Linked DNA regions of Daphnia pulex. The protein of the gene in region 1 interacts with the protein of each later gene in a pairwise test. Links are inferred from orthologs where the notes say so. Each region holds a gene or a part of one and is shown on either strand. Other genes may lie near its edges.

Region 1 (5,481 bases):
TCACCTGCTTTGTCTCCAGCATATCAGTAATCTCCCCATCGGTAAGAATAAGGAGGATGAAATAATTGTTTCCGTTACAGTGGGATGCGGCGAAGCGTGACACATGATTAATTACTGGGGAGAAATTGGTAGGTCCGTAAAGCTGAATGCAAGGTAAACATTTCCGGTATGCTTCAATTACCCCTATTTTTTTTTAAATAATTTAGATGAATAAAATGATATGATTGTTGATGGAAAAATGTTACCATTAACTCCAAAGCAGTGTGGATTGGGAGTCAGGTTGACGAAAAATTCGTGGGAAAGAATACCGTTAGGCGGAACTTTCGCTCCGAATCCAAGAACGGGGAAATGTTTATCACTATCGTAGTCTTGAATAATTGTGACGACAGACAGCAGTGCTTGCTCGTAGAGAGTAGGCGTAGGTCCCATATAATGTAGGGAATTAGGGTTATTGGGAGCTCCGTTGGAACCTAACACAGTAAAAAGTTAAAAGTGACGACCTAATTAAATGATTTATCAACGTCTACCAGTGAAATCTATGGCAATTGTGCAGTTAATCTGAGTGCCGCTCGTGATATAATCCAAGAAAGAAAAGGTTTTAATTACTTTGGCTTCATGTAAACACAACTTTCCCACGCTTTTTCCTGTTTTCTACATTACCAGCAATAAATTCATTAGCAAAAAAAATATACAACCTTTCAACAAATCAGGATAAATCGAACCTTATCATCCAACGAGAAAGTTTTGGGAGTTTGTAGAATTCCTTGTGTGGTAGTGTGTACCTCGCCCATTAGTTTGTGGCTTCCATCTCCGTTCCAATTCCAGCACTGCAGTGATAATGCTACATCTTTTTGATCTTTTGTGCGTATCAATCGCATAGGGATAGTGAATTTTGGCCACCTTGGATTACAGTTGTCTTTTATGAACGTTGTGCGATGAACTAGAGTGTTTTCTTTATAAATGGCTAAAAACGGATCCGGTTTGCTGAGGATCCCGCTCTTTTTGAAACCCTCGGCGCTAAACAGGAATTCGACATCTTCCTTAAGTGCCCCTATTTCTTCAGCTACTATGCACAATTCTCCTTTGTTTTTGCTCTTAGGGTGATGAAGTGGGATAACAATCTTGCCAGAAGAAACTATTTGCCCAAGAGAGCAATCAGCCTCTCCCAAGAAATCATGTTTATCCAAGGCAGTACTCTTACTGTCAATATCATAGATTTTAAATTTTAACTTTTGCAGTTCTTCAAAGCGGTAGCCAATAACAATTTTTTTGGAAAACTCTGGGTTTAACGAGTTGACAATTTGCTCAGTTCTGCCATGTTCTACCCAAGATTGGCCCTGTTGAATGTAGACCACACATATAGGATCAGACTTGGAAACAAGATCTTTATTTGACAAGTTCCTGTTAAATTGTAATGAAATTTGCTGTAGAACTGAATGGTAGTGCTATATTTATTATTTGTACAATACTTACTTTGCCGAAATAGTAAGCTCCACTTCATTATTGGGATCTTGACTAGCAGTTCCAGGAACAAAGTTTTGTTGTGCCATCATGCATAAAGAGAATACTATAAAGTAAGAACATCAGATTTGAAACCAGGCAAACTGATAAAAAATTCTTATCTCTAACATGTCAAGCCCCTATCAGTAACGGCAGAAGTGTACACAACACAATCTACCATGAATGTATCATCCATTGACCCACATACTTGTTTCTCCCCACATCCCACACATATTCACATTTTTAAACTAGGTTGGAAATCAGTTCTAATCTTACTTGGCATGTCATTTATACAACTACCTCTTGAGTTTTGATTTTGTGGGACACGTTTTAAAACTATTTTGAAATTGTGTAGAAATTATATTTCATCAAGGAAGAAGTTTGGGAAACTGCATTATTTTATAATATGGTGTTTGTGTTGTTCAAATTGGTTACCTAATTGAACCAATTCGTTGTCTGTGACTGTGGTTGAATGAACCCACCCTTATTTCAGTTATTTGAAACACCATGCGAATTTATTTTTTCACCGATTTATTTCGTCAGTTTAAAATCTCAGCGCTAGATGGCTAGTTGACACTTTCTCAGCGATGCCAATAGCACAAATTTCACATTTTTATATTAGAACTTCAAGTTTTAGGTCAGATTTGTAGGTTGCTAAACATAATTTAATATTTCAGTCATTTAAAAACAATAATTCACAGTTTTTTTTAATTGAATTAAAACTACCAGCGACAAAGTGACAGCCTCCTCCTAGCTTGGAGGCACAGCTGTTTTGGTCTGGTAACAACGGGACGTTGTGTAGGACGGGTTATTAGGTGCTGAGTTGAGTGGCTTTCTAAGAAAAAAAATTGTGGAAAACTAGTGGTAAAATGGCGACGAGAAGGTCTACCTCCTCGATAAATACCGCCATAGATCTACTTGCGACCAGTCCGTGTGATCCTCTTCGTGAATTGTTCGAAGCTTGTCGGAACGGAGAGGTTTCTAAAGTCAAAAAGTTGGTAACTACACAAAATGTTAACGCCCGTGATACAGCTGGAAGAAAGTCGTCTCCACTCCACTTCGCCGCAGGTAAATAACTGTGGCAAAATAACTTTCAACTCTCTATCATTCAAGCTTTCATTTTTCACAACCTGATCTCTTCCTAAAAATGTTTGGTTTCATTCAATGAAGTTATTAGTTCCTTTAAGGTTACCCTGGTTTTCTACTCCACCAATATCACTTCCTTTTCTCTTTTCAAGTGAAATGCATCAGCATAACTAGCCTGTCGTGAAACAGAGCATGAGAGAGTGAGATCTTTACAAGTTTATGTTTATGTTTTATTTTTAAATTTGTAGGTTTTGGTAGAAGAGATGTGGTGGAGCATTTGATTGCCACTGGAGCCAATGTTCATGCTAGAGATGATGGTGGTTTGATTCCTCTTCACAATGCCTGTTCTTTCGGTCATGCCGAAGTTGTTCAACTTCTGCTAAGTGCTGGTGCAGACCCAAATGCAAGGGACAATTGGAGTTACACACCCCTGCACGAGGCTGCAATCAAGGGTAAAATTGATGTGTGTATAGTTCTTCTACAGCATGGAGCTGATCATAATGTTCGCAATGCTGAAGGTAATTTACATCATTCAAATAAATGTTTTTGCTCTTGTTTTAATGTTAATTTTATTTTTAGGAAAAATTCCTCTCGATGTAGCTGACGCCACAACACGACCCGTGTTAACTGGTGATTATCGTAAAGAGGAACTTTTAGAGGCAGCTCGGAGTGGAAACGAAGACAAAATTCTTTCCCTCTTGACGCCGTTGAATGTAAACTGCCATGCCAGTGACGGCCGCAAGTCCACTCCATTGCATTTGGCTGCTGGTTATAACCGAACACAGATCGTCCAGAGATTGCTGCAACACGGTGCCGACGTTCAGGCCAAAGACAAGGGTGGTTTAGTTCCATTGCATAACGCCTGTTCCTACGGGCATCACGAAGTGACGGAGCTGCTCGTTCGCGCCGGTGCCAACGTGAACGCCACGGATTTGTGGCAGTTCACACCGCTGCACGAAGCGGCTTCCAAAGGCCGCCGTGAAGTTTGTTCCCTTTTATTAGCCCACGGGGCCGATCCGACATTGTTGAACTGCCACGCCAAATCCGCCCTGGATGTTGCCCCTTCGCGGGAACTCCAGGACCTTCTATCGTATGAATTCAAAGGACATAGTTTACTGGAAGCGGCTCGGCAAGCGGATCCAACTCGTCTCAAGAAATTCCTCTCTGTGGACGTCATTGGATTCAAGCACCCGTACACGGGAGACACTGCCCTTCATTGTGCCGTCGCCTCCACCGGAGTCAAACGGAAGCACGTCGTCGAAATCCTTTTGAAGAAAGGGGCCGCGCCTAACGAGAAGAACAAAGAGCTTCACGCGCCGCTACACATTGCCGCCGACAAGGAGCACCTGGACGTTTTGGAGGCTCTCCTGCGTCACGGTGCCAAAGTCAATGTGTTGGACGGCCTTGGTCAAACGGCCCTGCACCGAAGCAGTCAAAAAGGACAAGTGCCAGTGTGTCGACTGCTTCTTCCATACGGCGCCGATCCCACGGTCGTCTCTCTTCAGGGTTACACGGCCGCCCAAGTGGCTACCGAATCTGTGCAGAAGCTTTTCGCCGAGCAGCCGGCCTTCAATGCCACCCCTCCGCCTGTCGATCTCGAATACCAGTTGCTAGAAGCGGCCAAAGCTGGGGATTTGGATAATGTCCGTCGTATTTTGGGCGTCAATCCCTCGCCGCAGCTAGTCAACTGCCGCGACCTAGATGGGCGACATTCCACACCGCTTCACTTTGCGGCCGGTTATAACCGCCTTGCGGTCGTCGAGTTTCTCCTCCAACACGGAGGCGATGTCCAGGTGAGAGCGAGCCTCGATGCCATACAAATGTGAGGGACGTGTATTAAATTTTACTCATCTGTTTGTTTGTTTTGTTTTGTTTTTATGGGTTATTCCAGGCCAAGGATAAAGGCGGTCTAGTTCCGCTTCACAATGCTTGCTCCTACGGACACTACGAAGTGACAGAGTTGTTGGTACGTGCCGGAGCCAGCGTCAACGTTTCTGACTTGTGGAAATTCACTCCGCTGCACGAAGCGGCCGCCAAGGGAAAGTACGACATCGTCAAGTTGTTGTTGAAGCACGGCGCCGATCCCAGTAAGAAGAATCGAGACGGTCACACGCCTTTGGACCTTGTACGTGACGGCGATCAAGACATTGCCGACCTTCTGCGCGGCGACGCCGCACTGCTGGACGCCGCCAAGAAAGGTCATCTAGCTCGTGTCCACAAGCTCGTGACGAGTCAGAACATCAACTGTCGTGACTCGCTGGGCCGTAACTCTACGCCTCTCCATCTGGCGTCCGGCTACAACAATTTGGACGTGGCCGAGTACTTGCTCGAGCATGGAGCCGACGTCAACGCCCAAGATAAAGGCGGACTCATCCCTTTGCATAATGCTTCGTCGTACGGACACCTGGACGTTGCCGCCCTGCTAATTCGTTTCAACACGGAAGTGAACGCGACCGATCGCTGGGGCTTCACGCCACTTCACGAAGCGGCCCAGAAAGGTCGCACTCAGCTTTGTGCCTTGCTCTTGGCCCACGGGGCCGATCCCCACATGAAGAACCAGGAAGGACAAACTCCGTTGGATTTGTCGACCGCCGAGGATGTCAAATGTTTACTGCAGGACGCCATGACCCAACACCTTCCTCCGACAGCCAGTTCGTCGCCCGTCTCGCCCGTCTTCAATCCTTCACCACGAGGATCGTCTATTGTCATTGGCTGCTCGTCTGGAAGCAGCGGCAACACTGCCGGCGCCTCTGCCAACCCATCGACCAGTTCAGATACCTTAGTCCTGCCTTCCGGAAATGCGGTCGTCATAGCGCCTCCTTGTCCGTCGCCCGGCTTAGCTCCTTTACCTCTCCTGATGCTCGGCCCGGATTCCCCCGGCTTGGCTGCTGCTTC
Region 2 (5,650 bases), on another chromosome or scaffold:
AATGCGCATCGAATTAAATCGATAGTAATTTTATCATCGTTTCTTTTCAGGGTGTGGCTGGAGCTGAAAGAATATTTATCATGTCGAATGCACCACTCACCAGTGTTTTACCATCTGGTGTTGACCTGAATGCATTCCTCGCTCAACATAAGGTAATTTTGAATTGTAGTTTAACAGCCTTCCTCGAATTCGATTAAAAATGTCTTGCATTTATTGTTTCAGGAACTCGAATTCCTTTCCAAAGTCGATTCTATACCAAGGGGTAGCGGCAGTGTTGGCAAGTCCAGCAGCAGTGCTACCCCCGCCAGTCAAGTTAACATCGATTTTCAGCACAGCCTGGAGAAGTACTTGAGAGACGCGACCCAATTGACTACAGATGACGTCTGTAGCTGGATTCAGGTATGAGTTCCCTAGTTTCTTTTTTATTTTCTGATTTTCATTGCCGTTTTGTTTCCCCCATTGCAGAAACAATATGTTGGTGAAGTGAATCCCGCTTTCATTCGTGCCTTGGTCACCGCAGTAACCGAGAGTTCTATTGAAGGTGAGGAATTTTTTTTACTAATTGTCGAATAACAATTTTCAATGACAAAATTGTTTGTACATTTAGGACGTGGTACAGACAGTAAACTGAACAACACTGTTTTGAAAAATCGGACGGAGGTGTTGAGGCGGTACGTTGACAACATTGCTGATCGTGAGCTTCAACTGCTTTACGCAGTTCAGACTTTAGTGACCCAGCGACAACACCCCAAAGGTATGTGCTTATAAATTGTGGCAAGATTCGATTTTCTAAACTTTTGTATTTTGTAGGTTTAATTCAAGGCATCTTCGAGACCCTCTATGACAGTAACGTCGTTTCTGAAGAGGGCTTTGAGTCGTGGGTGTCTGCCGACGATCCTTTGGAACGTGAAGGCAAAGCTGTGGCACTCAAGATGATCACATCTTTTCTGACGTGGCTGAAGGAAGCTGACCCTGAAAGCGATCAAGAGGCGGATGCCTGACCTTATGAAAAGCATATTGAGGAGCATTTGTGTGAGTGTATCGTGTGAGTGAAGGGGTGAGGCCAGAGTGTGCATGCGTGTAAGTGAAGAAGATTGGCGGGATTTATCGCCCCTAATCTTCCCTAATTACATGAAAATGAGCTGATTTTTGAGCGATAATTGTGCTCCAAGAGCACACCTGGCTAAATTTATTAATGATGTAGTTGGAATTTTGCCCCTTTATTTTCATACACCCCTTTCAACTGATTGTGTGGGCGGATTATTTTTAATCCAAGGAAGGGCAAATGTTGATATAAAAGAATCGGTCAGAGAAAAGCGAAAGGTATCGTGTGAATAATTTGTTAGTTTGTTTTTTCTTTTCGTTTCATTTCATTGGCAAATGAAAAACAGGAGAAGAATTTTTAAAATCATTTTTCTGTTTGAATTTTTTTTGTTTCTTGTATGTGTGTAAGAAAAAAAATGTTGTGCTGGGCCGGGGGCGATATGTTGATTGCATGATCGATTTACATATGATGGATAAGAAACAACAACCCATAATTTCATGGATGCGCTTTCGCTAATTGAAATGAGCAAGCAATTGTTTTGGAACGTAGAGTTCCACTCATTCTTGCTCTCGCTCCTCCTTCCCTTCCACGTGAAAGACAGTCGGTTTACACATTCTGTGAACGTGGCGGTTTTGTTTGCAACGTTTGTAACATTTGTTGTAAGACTGATACTTTGAAGGGATTTATTCATACACTGCAGTAGAAGGTTATTGATAAACTAATGTCTCAGTTTACATCCATATTACTAATACATTTATCATTACATGAATATAAACAGAAAGGGCTTCTATAATGTTAGGAATTAGGTCATAACAGAAGAAAAGCATTTGAAATTGAAACGAATGCTTAATTTGTATTTCAAATGTTGTTTAAATTCCGATTTATTATTTTAGCGTCGTCCTCTAGAAAAGGTTGATAGGGTAGGATTATTTGGAAATGGAAAAAGCTTACGTCTGTGGTAAAACTGGTAAGTGGGTGCCGAAAATCCAGAATTTATATTCCCATTCAGCAATCCACAGTTGAATAATTAAAATCAGTTAAAGACAACTCCTGTAAGGTGTATGTATCACGAATTCACGACTTCAGTTCGCTTGATGGGGATTGGAATCAAATTTTCTCTTTGATTGATTGGTTTAGTCAGGGGTTCTATGATAAATGGCAACGTCGAGTCATGTTTGTTTTGGTTTTGGTAACTGTCTTCTGGTAACGGAGTGTAAACGTTTTAAAAATTAGTTATTAGAACGTTGTACTCCAAATAGACCGAAAATGGCTTTTTTGTGGCTAGAATCGACTTTCCACAACTCTCAACCCTTAAATAAGAAGCAAGATTGTCTTGTTACTTTCGTTCACTGGAAATTGCTGTCGAATGGTTATTTGGTTTTGCATTCTAAACAGGTACGTGCATTGACACCTATAGAATCCACTTTCAAAGTTAGCTAACATTTTTCGGAAAGGGTCTGAATGTTGAAGATGCAGAGAGAAAGGAAGTACTTCCCGAAAATTGGAATTCAGAAGCAGTGTATGAACTTCAATATGTAAAAAATGGAGAACAACATTTGTTAAAAGCCGTTATTGTTGATGGAGAACTGGTTTTTACTGTTATGGTAATTATTGAATGCATTGTTTTGCTTTTCTATTAACTGTAGTTGAATCTGTGTTGAATCTTTTTCAGCGAGTTAAAGATGAGAAAGTTGCTACTCTGGTGTTGGACACAGATCGTTGGATTGGAGAGAATTTCCAGAGTTTCAATGAGGCATACAAAGAAAAAGTCACTTTGGACAATTTTGTTCAAAAAGAATTGGTGGACCCTTTCGTTGAAAAGGTGTCTTCCAAACCTTCTGGAACTTCCACCATTATCATTGATGAGAGACCACAAAGTACATCTACTGGAGCCCCTTCATACCCCTCAGCAAGGCAAATACTGCATTTTTAAGAGTTTGATGCCTGGGTTTCATCTCTTTAGTCATTCATTAATGTATATTGAAACATTATAGTTCGTTCCCTGATCCGTTTGCTGTCGGAGGAGGTGATTTGAATCCGCTGGGAAGAGGACTTGGAGGTGGCGGTATGCTAATGGACCCTCGTCACATGGGCCGACGGCCACCATTGGGTATTCCAGGGAACCTTCCTCCAGGTATTTGGACTTGATTGAAACATTTTCTAAAAATAGGTTAACATAATTTTAACATGTATAACGTTTCCGCATATCAGGAGCTGTCCCGCCTGGCGCGCGATTCGACCCTTTCGGTCCGATTGGTAATATTCCTCCCATTAGAGGACCGAGACCAAGTGGTGGAGGTTTTGGCGACCCTGATTTTGATCATCTCCCGCCTCCTGGATCGCATGACATGTTTATGTAAATACATTGTCCAAAATTACGGTTAGTGGGTTGTGTGAGGCGGATGAAAAAGTCGTAATCAGTTTGAAGAATCTAAAAGTGTAAGCAAATGTATTGCCCTGATGTGTTGTAACAAAGGAAGCGTGTATCGATCGGTTGTTTATTTTTCACTTGCCTAATACAGAAATTACAAAGGTTGAATAGTCTTGCCTTTATGTACTTATAAGTATTTTCTGTATCATTTACCTTTGTTCTTTATCTTAAGACGCTTGATCTAAAAACCTGATTATCCAAACCAGAAAGGACTAAGAATATTCTTGAATTACCTAAAATCAAACAACAAAAAGATGCGTGTTTCGTAATTTCACGTTTCCCAACCATTTTTTATTTGAATCCAGCGTTGTGTTATGTCGCAATCGGCCTACTCAACAGCGACGTGTGAGAGATTATTCCTTATATTATAGTTTAATCGCCAGGTAACCACTTGATGACTCACTACGTACAATTTTAACGAAATAAATTCTTTCTGAATTTTTTCAAGTCGTGTTTTTGTTCGCTGTAAGTCGGATCATGAAGGAAGAAAGGAGGAGGAGCGACTCATAAGGCCCTGCAGGCAACAGTTTCGAGATGCTGCAATATATTGGTTTCTTTTTTCGTTACTAGATGTCGACATTAGCCTTAGCCCGAGACCCCGAGTAGCCCTCCTCCATTCCTCCTTCATGGTAGTAAAACGTGGTTTTTTCAAGATTCTGTAACGTTTGTTTACCTTCACAGACGTTGGATGCTTTCTGTCCTCTCTAGTATCAAAAGTTTTGTAGAATATAACGATTGAGTCGGTACCGTATTTTCCTGTATAAGTGTATCAAGCTACTGCGTACTGGTTATTGTGCAGTGCTGTGCCAGAGTGAGACTCCTTGTCTGCCTAGCAGCGTTGATTCTCACTGTACATGTTAGTCGACTGAATCCGGAATTGTGACCATATGTATATGGTATAATCATGGGTGATCGTGATTCTTTGCCTGCTAACTTGAAAAGTATGCAACCATATCTGGATATGGCCACTGATTACGAATCCATGGACCCTTTCATTAGTTACTGGTGTAATTAAACTCTAAATCTGGCTTCACATCGATTTAGATTTAAACTGTTTTCATTCATAGGCCGACTGTATGTTCTAAAGCAAGGATTTATCCTGGCAAGAGTAGAAGATCTTCCATTTTTGCTCGTTTTAATGGAACTTTTGGAGAAGAACAAACAAGACCTGCAATCTAAAATAGAGGTAAGACTTCAAAAATCAAATTTTTGTCAACAGTTTGTTTAAATCAAGGCAATGTTTTTTTGTTTGTTATTTTTGTTTTTTACAGACTACTGATATACCTGCTGCTCGAGCTCATCTTCAAGGTGTGGTCCAGAAGTTGTTAAGCTGGGCAGAAAATGTGCCGCCTTTGTTGTCATTAACTAAGTATGAAAAAATTATTGTGTCACATTTATACTGCATATGTTTGTTTTTGAAGTCCTAGCTGTTGATTTTGTATACTATTCTTATTATTGCAGTGTTGTTGCTAAGGCATTTGAGTCTGCTGGAATGCTGCTAGATGTGTGCTCTATATTCGGAGAGCCAAATGAAGGCGAATTCGAGAAAAAGAAGTAAACTAGTTGCTACCATAGTTCAATTTATATTGCCCTATTGCTAACGACGTTACAGGTTTACCGACCCACATCAAGCAAATTTGCACAGCGAATTCCAATCAGAGTCGACCACAAAAAAATCAAACATTCATTCCCAAGATATTGGCAAGTTATCAGGTGGAATTTCCGGAGAACTCCAAAATGATGAGGTATAATGACCATATTTTCCTTGCTGCTCTCTTCGTTCCCGCCCTTGATGTTGTTTAATCATTGAATGCGGCAGATAAGAGTGCTACATTAATTTGCCTATCTGAAAACTGAATTAAACTTGGTTTTTTCCTAATTTCACATTAATTATTAGCTTACAATGCGCATCAAATTAAATCGATAGTAATTTTATCATCGTTTCTTTTCAGGGTGTGGCTGGAGCTGAAAGAATATTTATCATGTCGAATGCACCACTCACCAGTGTTTTACCATCTGGTGTTGACCTGAATGCATTCCTCGCTCAACATAAGGTAATTTTGAATTGTAGTTTGACAACCTTCCTCGAATTCGATTAAAAATGTCTTGCATTTATTGTTTCAGGAACTCGAATTCCTTTCCAAAGTCGATTCTATACCAAGGGGTAGCGGCAG

What was found.
Region 2: the proteins of poly [ADP-ribose] polymerase tankyrase-like (region 1) and proteasome inhibitor PI31 subunit-like interact in binary tests that used the Drosophila melanogaster proteins (3 or more experiments, as listed by UniProt). The link is inferred for Daphnia pulex from reciprocal best matches to the Drosophila melanogaster genes Tnks and PI31.

The regions. Positions count from the first base shown.
Region 1 is NC_060026.1:4,291,798-4,297,278, reverse strand, and holds the start of poly [ADP-ribose] polymerase tankyrase-like, read left to right. Parts: upstream 1-2,116; 5' UTR 2,117-2,369; coding exon 2,370-2,568; intron 2,569-2,834; coding exon 2,835-3,104; intron 3,105-3,165; coding exon 3,166-4,379; intron 4,380-4,477; coding exon 4,478-5,481. Other genes in the region: copine-8-like, read right to left, coding at 5-183, 246-470, 528-651, 723-1,401, 1,474-1,553. UniProt on the Drosophila melanogaster protein: Stimulates proteasome activity, probably by ADP-ribosylation of PI31. Modulates 26S proteasome assembly.
Region 2 is NC_060020.1:486,001-491,650, forward strand, and holds the start of proteasome inhibitor PI31 subunit-like, read left to right. Parts: upstream 1-2,092; 5' UTR 2,093-2,311; coding exon 2,312-2,440; intron 2,441-2,499; coding exon 2,500-2,649; intron 2,650-2,717; coding exon 2,718-2,959; intron 2,960-3,039; coding exon 3,040-3,179; intron 3,180-3,256; coding exon 3,257-3,343; intron 3,344-3,715; exon of another isoform or gene 3,716-4,380; coding exon of another isoform or gene 4,381-4,483; intron 4,484-4,543; coding exon of another isoform or gene 4,544-4,662; intron 4,663-4,747; coding exon of another isoform or gene 4,748-4,845; intron 4,846-4,937; coding exon of another isoform or gene 4,938-5,030; intron 5,031-5,088; coding exon of another isoform or gene 5,089-5,221; intron 5,222-5,428; coding exon of another isoform or gene 5,429-5,530; intron 5,531-5,600; coding exon of another isoform or gene 5,601-5,650. Other genes in the region: eukaryotic translation initiation factor 4 gamma 1-like, read left to right, coding at 51-152, 223-399, 466-541, 608-754, 811-1,001; uncharacterized protein LOC124192564, read left to right, coding at 4,381-4,483, 4,544-4,662, 4,748-4,845, 4,938-5,030, 5,089-5,221, 5,429-5,530, 5,601-5,650.